2 linked regions of the Macaca mulatta genome follow. The protein of the gene in region 2 purifies or fractionates together with the protein of the main gene of each other region. This does not show direct contact. Links are inferred from orthologs where the notes say so. Each region holds a gene or a part of one and is shown on either strand. Other genes may lie near its edges.

Evidence for each region. Proteins that work in one complex are often made in the same cells at the same time.
Region 1: the proteins of EP300 (region 2) and SP3 purify together in Homo sapiens (affinity purification with western blotting; 4 studies listed by BioGRID, with this or other methods). This does not show direct contact. The link is inferred for Macaca mulatta from reciprocal best matches to the Homo sapiens genes EP300 and SP3.

The regions. Positions count from the first base shown.
Region 1 is NC_133417.1:78,863,498-78,869,493, reverse strand, and holds the start of SP3 (transcription factor Sp3), read left to right. Parts: upstream 1-2,563; 5' UTR 2,564-3,262; coding exon 3,263-3,269; exon of another isoform or gene 3,270-3,583; intron 3,584-3,883; coding exon 3,884-4,032; intron 4,033-4,547; coding exon 4,548-4,670; intron 4,671-5,996. UniProt on the Homo sapiens protein: Transcriptional factor that can act as an activator or repressor depending on isoform and/or post-translational modifications. Binds to GT and GC boxes promoter elements. Competes with SP1 for the GC-box promoters.
Region 2 is NC_133415.1:10,344,339-10,349,628, forward strand, and holds part of EP300 (histone acetyltransferase p300), read right to left. Parts: intron 4,348-5,290; exon of another isoform or gene 4,245-4,347; intron 4,108-4,244; coding exon 3,957-4,107; intron 3,836-3,956; coding exon 3,689-3,835; intron 3,145-3,688; coding exon 3,031-3,144; intron 2,248-3,030; coding exon 2,082-2,247; intron 449-2,081; coding exon 284-448; intron 1-283. UniProt on the Homo sapiens protein: Functions as a histone acetyltransferase and regulates transcription via chromatin remodeling. Acetylates all four core histones in nucleosomes. Histone acetylation gives an epigenetic tag for transcriptional activation.

The DNA of each region.
Region 1 (5,996 bases), on a different chromosome or scaffold from region 2:
GGAGAATTGCTTGAAGCCGGTAGGCAGAGGTTGTAGTGAGCCAAGACCATGCCATTGCACTCCAGCCTGGATGAGAGTGCGACTCCGTCTCAAATAAAAAAAAAATATATTTCATGACTTGATTACAATACTGAAATAGGCAGGAAAAGGTGTTCTTTCAAAAGACTATCTTCATTTCCAGCCATTTTTAAAAGATATTCCATGACAGTAACTCAAGTGTGGTCTAAGAGGGTTCTCTGAATCTGACTAAAGTAGCGAGTGATGCTTTTGGTATATGCATCTTTTGTTGTTAAAAAATTGATACATATTTGTACACATTTACGGGGTACATGTGGTATTTCGATACACGCATACAGTGTTGTAATGATCAAATCAGAGTGTTTAGGGTATCTATCACTTTGGACATTTTTTTTCTGCCCTCTCTCCCCTGTCACCTTGAACGGTTGTCATTTCTTGTGTTGGGAACATTTCAAATCTTCCCTTCTGGTTATTTTGAAATATATAATATATTGCTATTTACTATAGTCACCCTACTGTGCTACTGAACACTAGAACTTATTCCTTCCATCTAACTGTATGTTTGTACCAATTAACCAACCTCTCTTTGTCACCCCACCTCTCTATATATATCTCTTAAAAGCATCCCATCAAAAGCAGTATAGTTAGTTCAGGTAGGTCATTTAAAAATTTTTTTAGACAGTCTCTGTCTTGCTGGAGTGCAGTGGTGCCATCTCAGCTCACTGCAAACTTCACTTCCCAGGTTCAAGTAATTCTCCTGTGTCAGCCTCTTGAGTAGCCGGGATTACATGTGTGCGCCACCGTGCCTGGTTAATTTTTGTATTTCAAGTTGAGACGGGGTTTCACCATGGCAGTCAGGCTGGTCTCGAACTTCTGACCTCAAGTGATCTGCCGTCCTCGGCCTCCCAAAGTGCTGGGATCACAGGTATGAGCCACCGTGCCCAGCTAGGCTATTTTTTTTTTTCCGTGTTTTTTTGTTTGTTAAAATGGTCTATGGACGTGCCATCCCCACCCCGCAAAAAAGAAAGAAAAAAGACTTCATGTCTTGTATCATTTGCCAACTGGTATGAATGAAGAAATGAATTTAATTCCTGTGGCCAAATACTTTGCTCTCTAGGTGGCTGGACTAACACTTTGCAAAAATGGTATGGCAATAGTGTAGAACATATCCCCACTCCTGAAAAAACAAACAAACAAAAAATCTGAAAATGCCTAAAATATCCTTTCTAGGGAAAGAGCTACCTTCCACCCAACAGATCCAGGTAGGAACAGAGTGATAATAGTGACTTCCCTTCCTCTCTCCCAGTCTACTTTTCACTTTTCACCTGTCCTGCTCTTCAGGGCACCCATCTCTTTTTCCCTTCCCCCCACCCCAAATCAGGTTATTTTGTGACTTTTATTTCCTTAAAAGTTTTTGTTGTAAAATAGTACACAGGTTATACCATTCAACTTTGAAGTTATTTTTCCAATTAAATGAGACTACAAGGTCTTACTATTAGGAGAGATGAACCTTATTCTTGGACTCAGAATTTTGAGTCTCGTTTCCGCATGTTTGTGGTTTTTAGGTCAATTCCCTAGAAATTCGATCTTTGTACAATTAAGAGCAAAGTAACCATACAATGTTTCTGATCCTGTGAGCATAGGCGGTTAACTGCTTTGGAACTGGGATGCAAACTCGCTATCTCACAAATGGATTACCTATTAAGTTAGTACACACAAAATCTAGTTGAAGTGCTTCACAACCTCATCCACCAGCACATCATCACATATCACACAAAATACAATCATCACAGTAATGGGAAAACTGATTCTTGAGCCAGATTTCTAAAAAAGAGGTATTGTGGACAGTGTTTCCACCTCTTGAATTTAACTTCTTTGTTGGCAACTATACTTGAAGGTAACAGGGAGAGATATCTCTTAGTTGGCAAAACACAGACATAAAACCTCAGCATTTTCCCCCAGGATGACAGCAAGATATCAAGGTTGCCAAAGAAGGAAGGAGTTTTAACCTAATCCAATGAGTGAAACAAGATTTTAAAATACAACAAAAATGTTCCAATGGGGGAAAAAAGGTACTTCACCAGTTCACGACTTTAAAAACGTTGGCAATGGTTGATGGGCTTGTTTCAGGAGATATCTGACTTGGTACCAAGAGGATTAAGAGGCTGGGGATAATACGTTTGTGCAGCAAAATGATTATGTGACTGACTTTTTAAAAAAACAGTATTCTGCCCCATTGGATACATACACATACCACAGGTAAAATGAAATATACTTTTAAGTGCCCGTTTTGGTGCCACTGGCCAAAATTAAAACTCTCCTTCCGTATGTGAGGTGACTTGAAATTTTTTTGCTTTAAATGCCTGCCTTCACGGTACGTGAAAGTGGGAGACCGGTTGGAAAGCTGGGGCTAAGGGGGCTGGGAGCGAGATGGCTGTCTGTGAATCAGAAAGCTGGATGTGTGTGAGAAAAATCCTCCTCCAGCCTCGGAGGGGGTGTCTCCCCTAATACCAGCTCCCTCCCCCCGGGCTCGTGGGGCGGGTCTGGTTTGCTCAGTAGCGGCAGCGGCCGCAGCAGCAGCCCCGGGGCTGAGCGGCGGTGCCCTCCTGGCAGCTCAGGCAAGCGGCGGCTCCAAGAGCGCGAGGCCCTGGGGAAATCCGGCCGAGGCTGCTGCCGGGATGGAGGTAGCCTCCAGTGGAGCCGGAGTCACCGGGGACGAATTTCCTCCCCAGCTCAGCTCCCCTACAGCTTGGCTAGGCCTGCTCCGAGCGCCTGCGAGGTGGAGGAGGCCTGCGCCTCGGGCCTGGCAGCGGCAGCCGGCGAGAGAGGCGGACACAGCGGGGTAACCGGCGAGCCGTAGCCGCTCTCGGAAACCTACGCTGCCACGGCCGCTCATTGTCTCGCCCCTTCCACCCGGGGGGCAAACAGGAAGCGCGCCGCCTGGCACAGCGACGGACGGGCGCCTGGACCAATGAGCACATCCGACGGAGAACACGGCGGCGAATGAGGGCCAAGAAGAGGGGCGGGAGTTCCGGGCAGGCTGTCACCCTCTTCCCCCCTTTTGGGCTGGAGGCTCCACCTTTTGTGTTTCCCGCACAGTCAATCAAAATAGGAAAAAAAAATCCCCGGACCGCTCCGGCCGTGTCCGCCGCCGCTTCCCGCATCCTCTCCCGCCGCCGCCGCCTTCGCTCCTCACCATGTGTAAGGCGGCGGGGAGCCCCGCCTGAGGTGCCCTAAACACACTATGACCGGTACGTAAAGCCGAGAGAGCAACCCTTGCTGCTGCCGCCGCCGCCGCTGCCGCCGACCACAGCCAGCCCGGGGCCGCTGCCGCCGGTCCTGGCCCCGTGTGTGCGACCGAGTGTCTGTGAGAGGCAGAAAGCTGCACTCCCCTGCGCCTCCCTCCCCTCCCCGCCAGCCACCGTCCACCCCCGAAGCCCCAGCAACGCCGTCTCCCCGCCAGGCCCCGGGGCGGGCGGCCCGGTCCGCCGGGAGCGCATCCCCCTGTGTGCGGGCGCGGGCGGGCGTGTGTGAGTGACTGACGGTGCGAGAGGAGCGAGCGCGAGTGAGAGCGAGCGGCGCGAAGGGAAAGGGGAGGAGAGGAGAGGGGGCAGGGGCAGCGCGGGGAGGAGGAGGAGGAGGGAAAGAGGAGGAGGAGGAGGGTTACAGGCAGCGGCGGGCGGGGGCAGCAGCAGGAGGGGAGGAGGGAGCCGCCGCCGCCGCCGCCGCCGCCGGGGGGCGGGTGGGGGAGGGGAAGGGGCCTGGGTCCGGGCTTTGGGAGTAATTTCGCCTCGGCCCGCGGGCCCCCTCCCTCTCCGCCACCCGCCTTCCTCCCCACCCCCACCCCCCCGCGCTGTGCCTGCAGCTCCCGAAAAGCCCGTGAAACAAGAGGAAATGGCTGCCTTGGACGTGGACAGCGGCGGCGGCGGTGGTGGCGGCGGCGGCCACGGCGAGTATCTGCAGCAGCAGCAACAGCACGGAAACGGCGCGGTGGCGGCGGCGGCGGCGGCCCAGGTGAGGAGCGGCTGAGCCCCGGCCCGGCTCCCCCCTCGCGCCGCTTTCTCCTCCCCTCGCCTCTCCCCTCCCTCCTCGCCTCACCCCTCCCTCCTCGCCTCTCCCCTCCCCTCCCCACCCCTCCCCTCCCCCCGCCTCGGGAGCTGCCCGCCCGAGGCGCCAACGCTCCGACCCCGCCCGCGACGCCCCGCCCCGCCCGCCTGCCGCCTTTTTGTGCGCGTGTGAGTGTGGGCCCCAGCGTGCCCTCTCGGGGGTGGGTTCCGGGCGGAAGGCGGAGGCCCGGCGCGCTAGCCCGCCGCCCGCCTGCCCGCAGACCGGGGAGCCGGGGTTCGTGGAGCGGGGGACGCCAGGCGGGGGCCGGCGGCGGGACCAGGAGGAGGAGGAGAGTGCGGGTTGGCGCTCGCCCGGGCGCAGTCGGCGGGGATCGAGTCGCACTTCCTGTGCGAGCGGCCGCCCGGCCCTAACCGCCACCCCCTCCCCCTGTCTCCCTCTCTGAACCCGCCCATTGGGGGTAGGACACTCAGCCGTCACCGCTCGCTCTGCTGGCCGCTACCTGCAGCAAGATAGGGCCGCCATCGCCGGGCGACGACGAGGAGGAGGCGGCCGCCGCAGCCGGGGCCCCCGCCGCCGCCGGAGCGGTAAGTCCCGCGCGCGGCCCGCCCCCGCTGAGGCCCGGCGCCCGCCATCCGGGGCCCGTAGCGCGCCCGCCCAAAAGGCCTCCCCGGCGCCCGCGCTTCTCCCGAGCCGCACGGGCCGCTGGGCTCCAGGGCGCCCTTTCCTGCTCTTTCGCGTCCCTGTTTGGATTTGAAGCCAGCCCAGGCTTTCTCGAAATTGTCACTGCGGCACCTCGCGCAAAATTCTTCACAAAATGAAGTCTGAGAGGGCGGGGGTAGAGGACTCCAAAATGGATGTTTGAGCAATTCCTATCAGTGCTGAAAACTCCTTCGCTGAACACTACAAAATTTTCAAGCACAGCCTATCGGCCATAGATAGTATCAACTAGAAGGAGTGTCTTTAGTTTTTAGTATTTTTGAAACTGGAGCATTTTCTGTTGGAAGTTACAGGATCTTACTGTTTTAAATCATACATTATTTTTAAAAAATGGGGGTTTATTATTTGAATTATCCTTTTGTATGCAGGAGTGAACACTTTTTGCTTTTTTAGTGACCATTCAAAATCGTTGATTTTTAGTTTTTGCAGACTACTTAAATTTGCAGTGAGTTTTTTTTGTAAGGGGCGTAAGTGAAACATTTAGCAGCCTTTGAAATTGGCAAGTTGCTTAGATAGTACTTTATCTTTTGAAATTGAATATGACTATCAGTGTTAGAAAAGTATATGTAAGAAATTGTATTTACATGCATGCTAATACTGCAATACTTACAGTTGAATATGATTGGCAAAAGTATATTTTTGTTTTATTACGACTGCTAGTCAGGTAAGATGTGGTGGGATTCTTTCTGTAGTGTTTTCACAGTGTCCGGGGCAAGGGGAGGAGCTCGCCTGTGTTATGTGAGGGGTTAATACAAATAGGGTAGGAATAGTTTTTAGACTGTTAATTGTGAATTTTACATTTGGATCATCACTGTTGTATTGTGTAGATTTGTTCACCTGTTAAAATAATGAAAACCCTCTCGTGTGTGTGTGGGGGGGGGGTAGATCATAGGAATTGATTTGTGGAGTGATATTTTGAATAGTCACTGAAGAAAGAGAAGTTTGGTATTTGGTATAGTCTACAGCAAATGGTTAGTACGTCCAGATTTTTTTTTTTAAGTTAAACCAATGTTAAGCTATTATTGGTAAATAGATTTGTAATTTTAGTGTTTCGTTATAGGGGATGTGAATAGTTTTAATGTCTTTTTTATAAGCAGATTAAGATGTAAAAATGTAAAATTGTATTAGGCATTGTTATTTTTAAATACATTTATGGATTGGTAGGCCTTTATTTCACCTCATTTCAGCTTCAC
Region 2 (5,290 bases):
TCAGGAGATCGAGACCATGGTGAAACCCCGTCTCTACTAAAAATAGAAAAAATTAGCCGGGCACAGCGGCGGGCGCCTGTAGTCCCAGCTAATCGGGAGGCTGAGGCCGGAGAATGGCGTGAACCCGGGAGTCGGAGCTTGCAGTGAGCCGAGATTGTGCCACTGCACTCTAGCCTGGGCGACAGAGCGAGACTCCGTCTCAAAAAAAAAAAAAAAAAGAAAGTTTAAATGCACTTTTGGATTAAATATTATAGAAGTTTCAAAGGAAACTCAATGCCCTTACATCTGTGCTTTCATTGCTGGTGTTTTCTTCTCGTTTTCTCTCTTCTTCCTCCTGTTCCAGTTCCTTAATGCTTTCTTCCAGAACATTGGGCCAGAAATCACCCTCGAAGTAAGGCAATTCCTTTGCACTTGTTAATCTATCTTCAGTAGCTTGTTTAAAAATATCCTGTGAAAACAAGCATGTACAAATAGGAATTCCTATGTTCTTTTAAAGCATTGATTATAAAGAATCATGGCTGACAAGAAACATGAAAGCTTAAAATGTCTTGAAAGCTGGCAGAGACTATATACCTAAGCCATAAACCAGGGAGCTATTTAGAAAAACAGTGAAAAGGCCTGGCCTAAAGTCAGTATTTCTGGTTTTCTATTTCTTCTACCCACAAAAGCAGGGAGCTTATCTGCCTTTATATAATCAAGTGGCAATTATTCTGCGAGGATCGATGTCAGGGTGGTAGCACCATCATGCAAGCCATGGCCCTTACCACAGAGTATGTGGTGTGAGGCATGCCCTCCTCACACCCATCTTTGGAATTTCAGCAGCTTTTATTGATAGCTTTGTTCAAAATGCCCAAAACTACAAATACTGGAAACAGTATCTGCTGCAGAATGATTCGCTGGGCAGCTTAGGAAAACTTCTTTATTTAGTTGAACTACTAAATTGAGGAAGACAAGTCTGTATCATGAGACAGCCTATATTCATGAATGTTTAAAATAGTATTAAGAAAGAATATATTTTTGGCCAGGTGCAGTAGCTCACACCTGTAATCCCAGCACTTTGGGAGGCTGAGGCACGTAGATCACCAGAGGTTGGGAGTTCGAGACCAGCCTGACCAACATGGAGAAACCCCATCTCCACTAAAAATACAAAAAATTAGCCCAGTGTAGTGGTGCATGCCTGTAATTCCAGCTACTCGGGAGGCTGAGGTAGGACAATCGCTTGAACCTGGGAAATAAGAGATTGCAGTGAGCCTAGATCGTACCGTTGCACTCCAGCCTGAGCAACAAGAGTGAAACTGTCCAAAAACAAAAAACAAAAAAAAAAAAACCATATTTTTGGCTGGGTGAGGTGGCTCATGCCTGTAATCCCAGCACTTTGGGAGGCTGAGATGGGTGGATCACTTGAGCTCAGGAGTTTGAGACCAGCCTGGGCAACATAGTGAAATCCTGTCTCTACAAAAAATATACAAAAATTAGCCAGGTATGGTGGTGTGCACCTGTAGTCCCAGCAACTCAGGAAGCTGAGGTGGGAGGATGGCTTGAGCCTGGGAGGCACAGGTTGCAGTGAGCAGATATCATGCCACTGTACCCTAGCCTGGGTGACAGAGAGTGACCCTGTCTGAAAACAAAACATCCCCACCCCTAAAACCCTAACCAACCCAAACCAAACAAACAAAAAGATGTATTTTAAGGCCAGGCACAGTGGCTCATGCCTGTAATCCCAGCACTTTGGACTGCTTGAGGCCAAAAGTTCAAGTCCAGCCTGGGCAGCATGGCGATACCCCAACTGTACCCCCCTAAAAAAAAAAAAAATAAAATTTTGGTTACATGTTTTTTAAAACAGGGATCTCTTGATCTTCTTGATCTACCACTCTTCAAAACCTGGTTTTTCTTACATTAGAAAATTTTGAATATACAAAATAAAAGCAACAAATTAGCATTTTTAGGAATTACATGCAAGAGGTAGAACAAATAAGACTTTTGTTTAAAAAAAAAAAAAGTTAAATGACAGAATACAGAGCAGCAACATTAGTGTATTTCCAGATCTACTGTCAGCACCTGGCCCCCATGTCCCAACTGACCTTGTAGTCATGGACAATACGCTCTGATACAGCCTTGTCAAGCATTTTTTTGTACCATTCCTGCAGTCGCTTGGGCTTGGGTATCTTCTGGTCAGGAGGATGGCAATGGAAGATATAATCATCTCCCTCACTTGGTGGACATGCCCAAATATGCCCTGTTGTGTAACTAGCAATACAAAGAGAACATTAAGGAAAAAAGATCATCTATTCTAGAAGGCTACACTTTAAAACCACAAGGTGGAGTTGATATAGATACCAATAATTTTTCCCAAGATAACACAGTGTATAACCCAGCATGAGATTAACATTGTGAGACCAAAATTAGGCATAACTCACAGTAATTTAAACAATGGATCTCATACTGCCTCTACTTATTTTTGGAGGCCATGGCGGGATGTTGTGAATCTCAGCCAGAAAGCAGATGACTTAGCCCTGGATCCAAAAACCCTAAGTTTGCATGTTAAGACCAAATGAAGATTACGTTGTGAAGGAAAATTGACCCGTTTAACAAGAGAGCTAAATTAAAAGGCACACTATTCAGAGAAACAGTCTTCAAGATGAGGGAATGAATGTTTCCAATGACATACATACTCTAAAGGTAAGAAGTATTTCCAGAGCTGTTTCTGGTCTTGATACCCAGGTTATAAAAGGATCAAATGCAGTTAAAATTCTGCCCTCAAATGAGAGGCACAAATCAAACTTCAAAGCAAACTGGACCCAATAGCTCAGCTGAACAAAACAAAACTGATGTTGGATAGGTGATAGAGTCAACATATCCATTTCTCTCCTACTGACAACATTAACTTCGAAGGGGCTCTAACAAAGTTGAGAGACTTGTTAGGTAAGAACTAAAATGAGGAAAAAAAGGCAAAGAGTTACATATTTGCAAATTTAACCTGTATCTCACCAGAATGTCCTAATAAAAAAAAATTTATCAAAATATGCTTACCCTAATTTCTTGACATATTCTAAATATCCAATCAGGATTTCATGATAGACTGCAGTCCTCAAGCATTTAGGACGGAAGAAATGAACACTATCGAGGTAAGATATGTATACTCTCCTATACAAAATGAAGAGAAAAAAAGAAAAGTCAAATCTACTGAGTTATTTATTCCATGTGCCTAATAACTCTCTCTCACTCTCCCAGGCTCTTTGCTCACATCGTTATTTATGAAACTCATCACAGGCAGGTGGGCGACTCCACTGTGAACCCTTCAGGAAAGTTCAGCGAGCCTGTGGTTTCCTTCTATTTGAAGTAACTAGCAGTGCCTGGCACATACACATCCATCAGTATTTGGTGATTCCTATACATTATCCAGATTTAAGCTCATTTTCTGAAGAGTAGTACGTTTGTTTCCAAATTCCCATTTCAGGTTGCTATTCATATCCTTTATTATTATGGCCACAGAAGAGCAGAATCAAGCAGTTATTTTGTTTGGGGGTTTGCTTTTTAATCTGTTTCACTTTACAATTATTGTATACTTGAGATTTTGCATTTCCAAACCAAGCACACTCAACATTTTCTTGCCTGTTATACTCTTCCGCCTATTATAATTTGGAACTCCCACACAAATCCGGAGCTAGCCACTGTGAGCCAGTCATACCTCTGGTTGGGTGGAGGGCAGTCAGAGCCATACTCTTGAACATGCATGCCAAAGAAGCACAGGTCAACGCCATCAATTTCTTCAAAGGCAAAGAGGGCTTTGGTTCGGTATGGAAAGGATTCTGCCATCTCTCCACTGTCCACAAACCTATACAATTGAGATAGTGGGAGGACCACAACATAAATTCATTCAGATTGCAATCACCAATGGTAACCACGTATGAGCAATTTTGGATCCACAAGAGAAGAAAAGTGAAATGACTAGATACCTTGCTTTCATGCCTGGTTTTACTTCCACGGTTTTGTCAGAAGCATGAACTACTCTAACAGTGACCTCTCCTGACTCAGGGTGATTCTGTCGCCTCAGAAAGTCATTCACACGATTCTCTAGAAAGGTGCCAAGTCTGGTAGATGGCAACCCTAGGAATGTAGAAGTTAAAAGTTACTGAGGTGCAGATTTACTATTGTTAGTCTTAAGGTTCAACCTTAAATCTCATTTGTACTTTTTTCAATACAAACAGGGTAACTTGGTGAAATTTTAAAAAATCACAGCATATTTAAGTATTCACTACTTTGCAGATTTGCATGTCATATTAGTGCAGGGAACATGCTAATCTTCTCTGTATCATTCTAATTTTAATATATGTGCTGTTAAAGCAGACACAGTACTCAATAATTTCTAAATGTCATTTTCCCCAACTTTTCATTTTGAAAAATTTCCAATTTTGGAAGAGTTTATAAAAATACAGAACAGGGGCTGGTTGCAGTGGCTCACACCTGTAATCCCAGCACTTTGGGAGGCTGAGGCGGGCAGATCACCTGAGGTCAGAAGTTCGAGACCAGCCTGGCCAGCATGCTGAAACCCTGTCTCTACTAAAAATACAAGAACTAGCCGGGCATGGTGGCACACGCCTGTAATCCCAGCTACTCAGGAGGCTGAGGCAGGAGAATCGCTGGAACCCGGGAGGCGGAGGTTGCGGTGAGCCGAGATTGTGCCACTATGGGTGTCAGAATGAGACTCTGTCTCAAAAAAGAAAAAAAAACCCAAAAAACAAAAACAAACAGAACAATGGCCAGGACACAAGGCTCACACCTATAATCCTAATCCCTGCACTTTGGGAGGCTGAGGTGGGAGGATTGCTTGAATCCAGGAGTTCAAGATCAGCCTGGACAACACAGTGAAACCTTGTTTCCAAAAAACAAAAACAAAATGCAACCAACGGCCAGGCGCGGTGGCTCAAGCCTGTAATCCCAGCACTTTGGGAGGCCGAGACGGGTGGATCACGAGGTCAGGAGATCGAGACCATCCTGGCGAACACCGTGAAACCCCGTCTCTACTAAAAAATACAAAAAACTAGCCGGGCGAGGTGGCGGGCGCCTGTAGTCCCAGCTACTCGGGAGGCTGAGGCAGGAGAATGGCGTAAACCTGGGAGGCGGAGCTTGCAGTGAGCTGAGATCCGGCCACTGCACTCCAGCCTGGGAGACAGAGCGAAACTCCGTCTCAAAAAAAAAAAAAAAAAAAAAAAAAAAAAAAAAAGCAACCAACCATATATATATATATATATATCTATATAAATATCTATCTATATATATATAAAATATA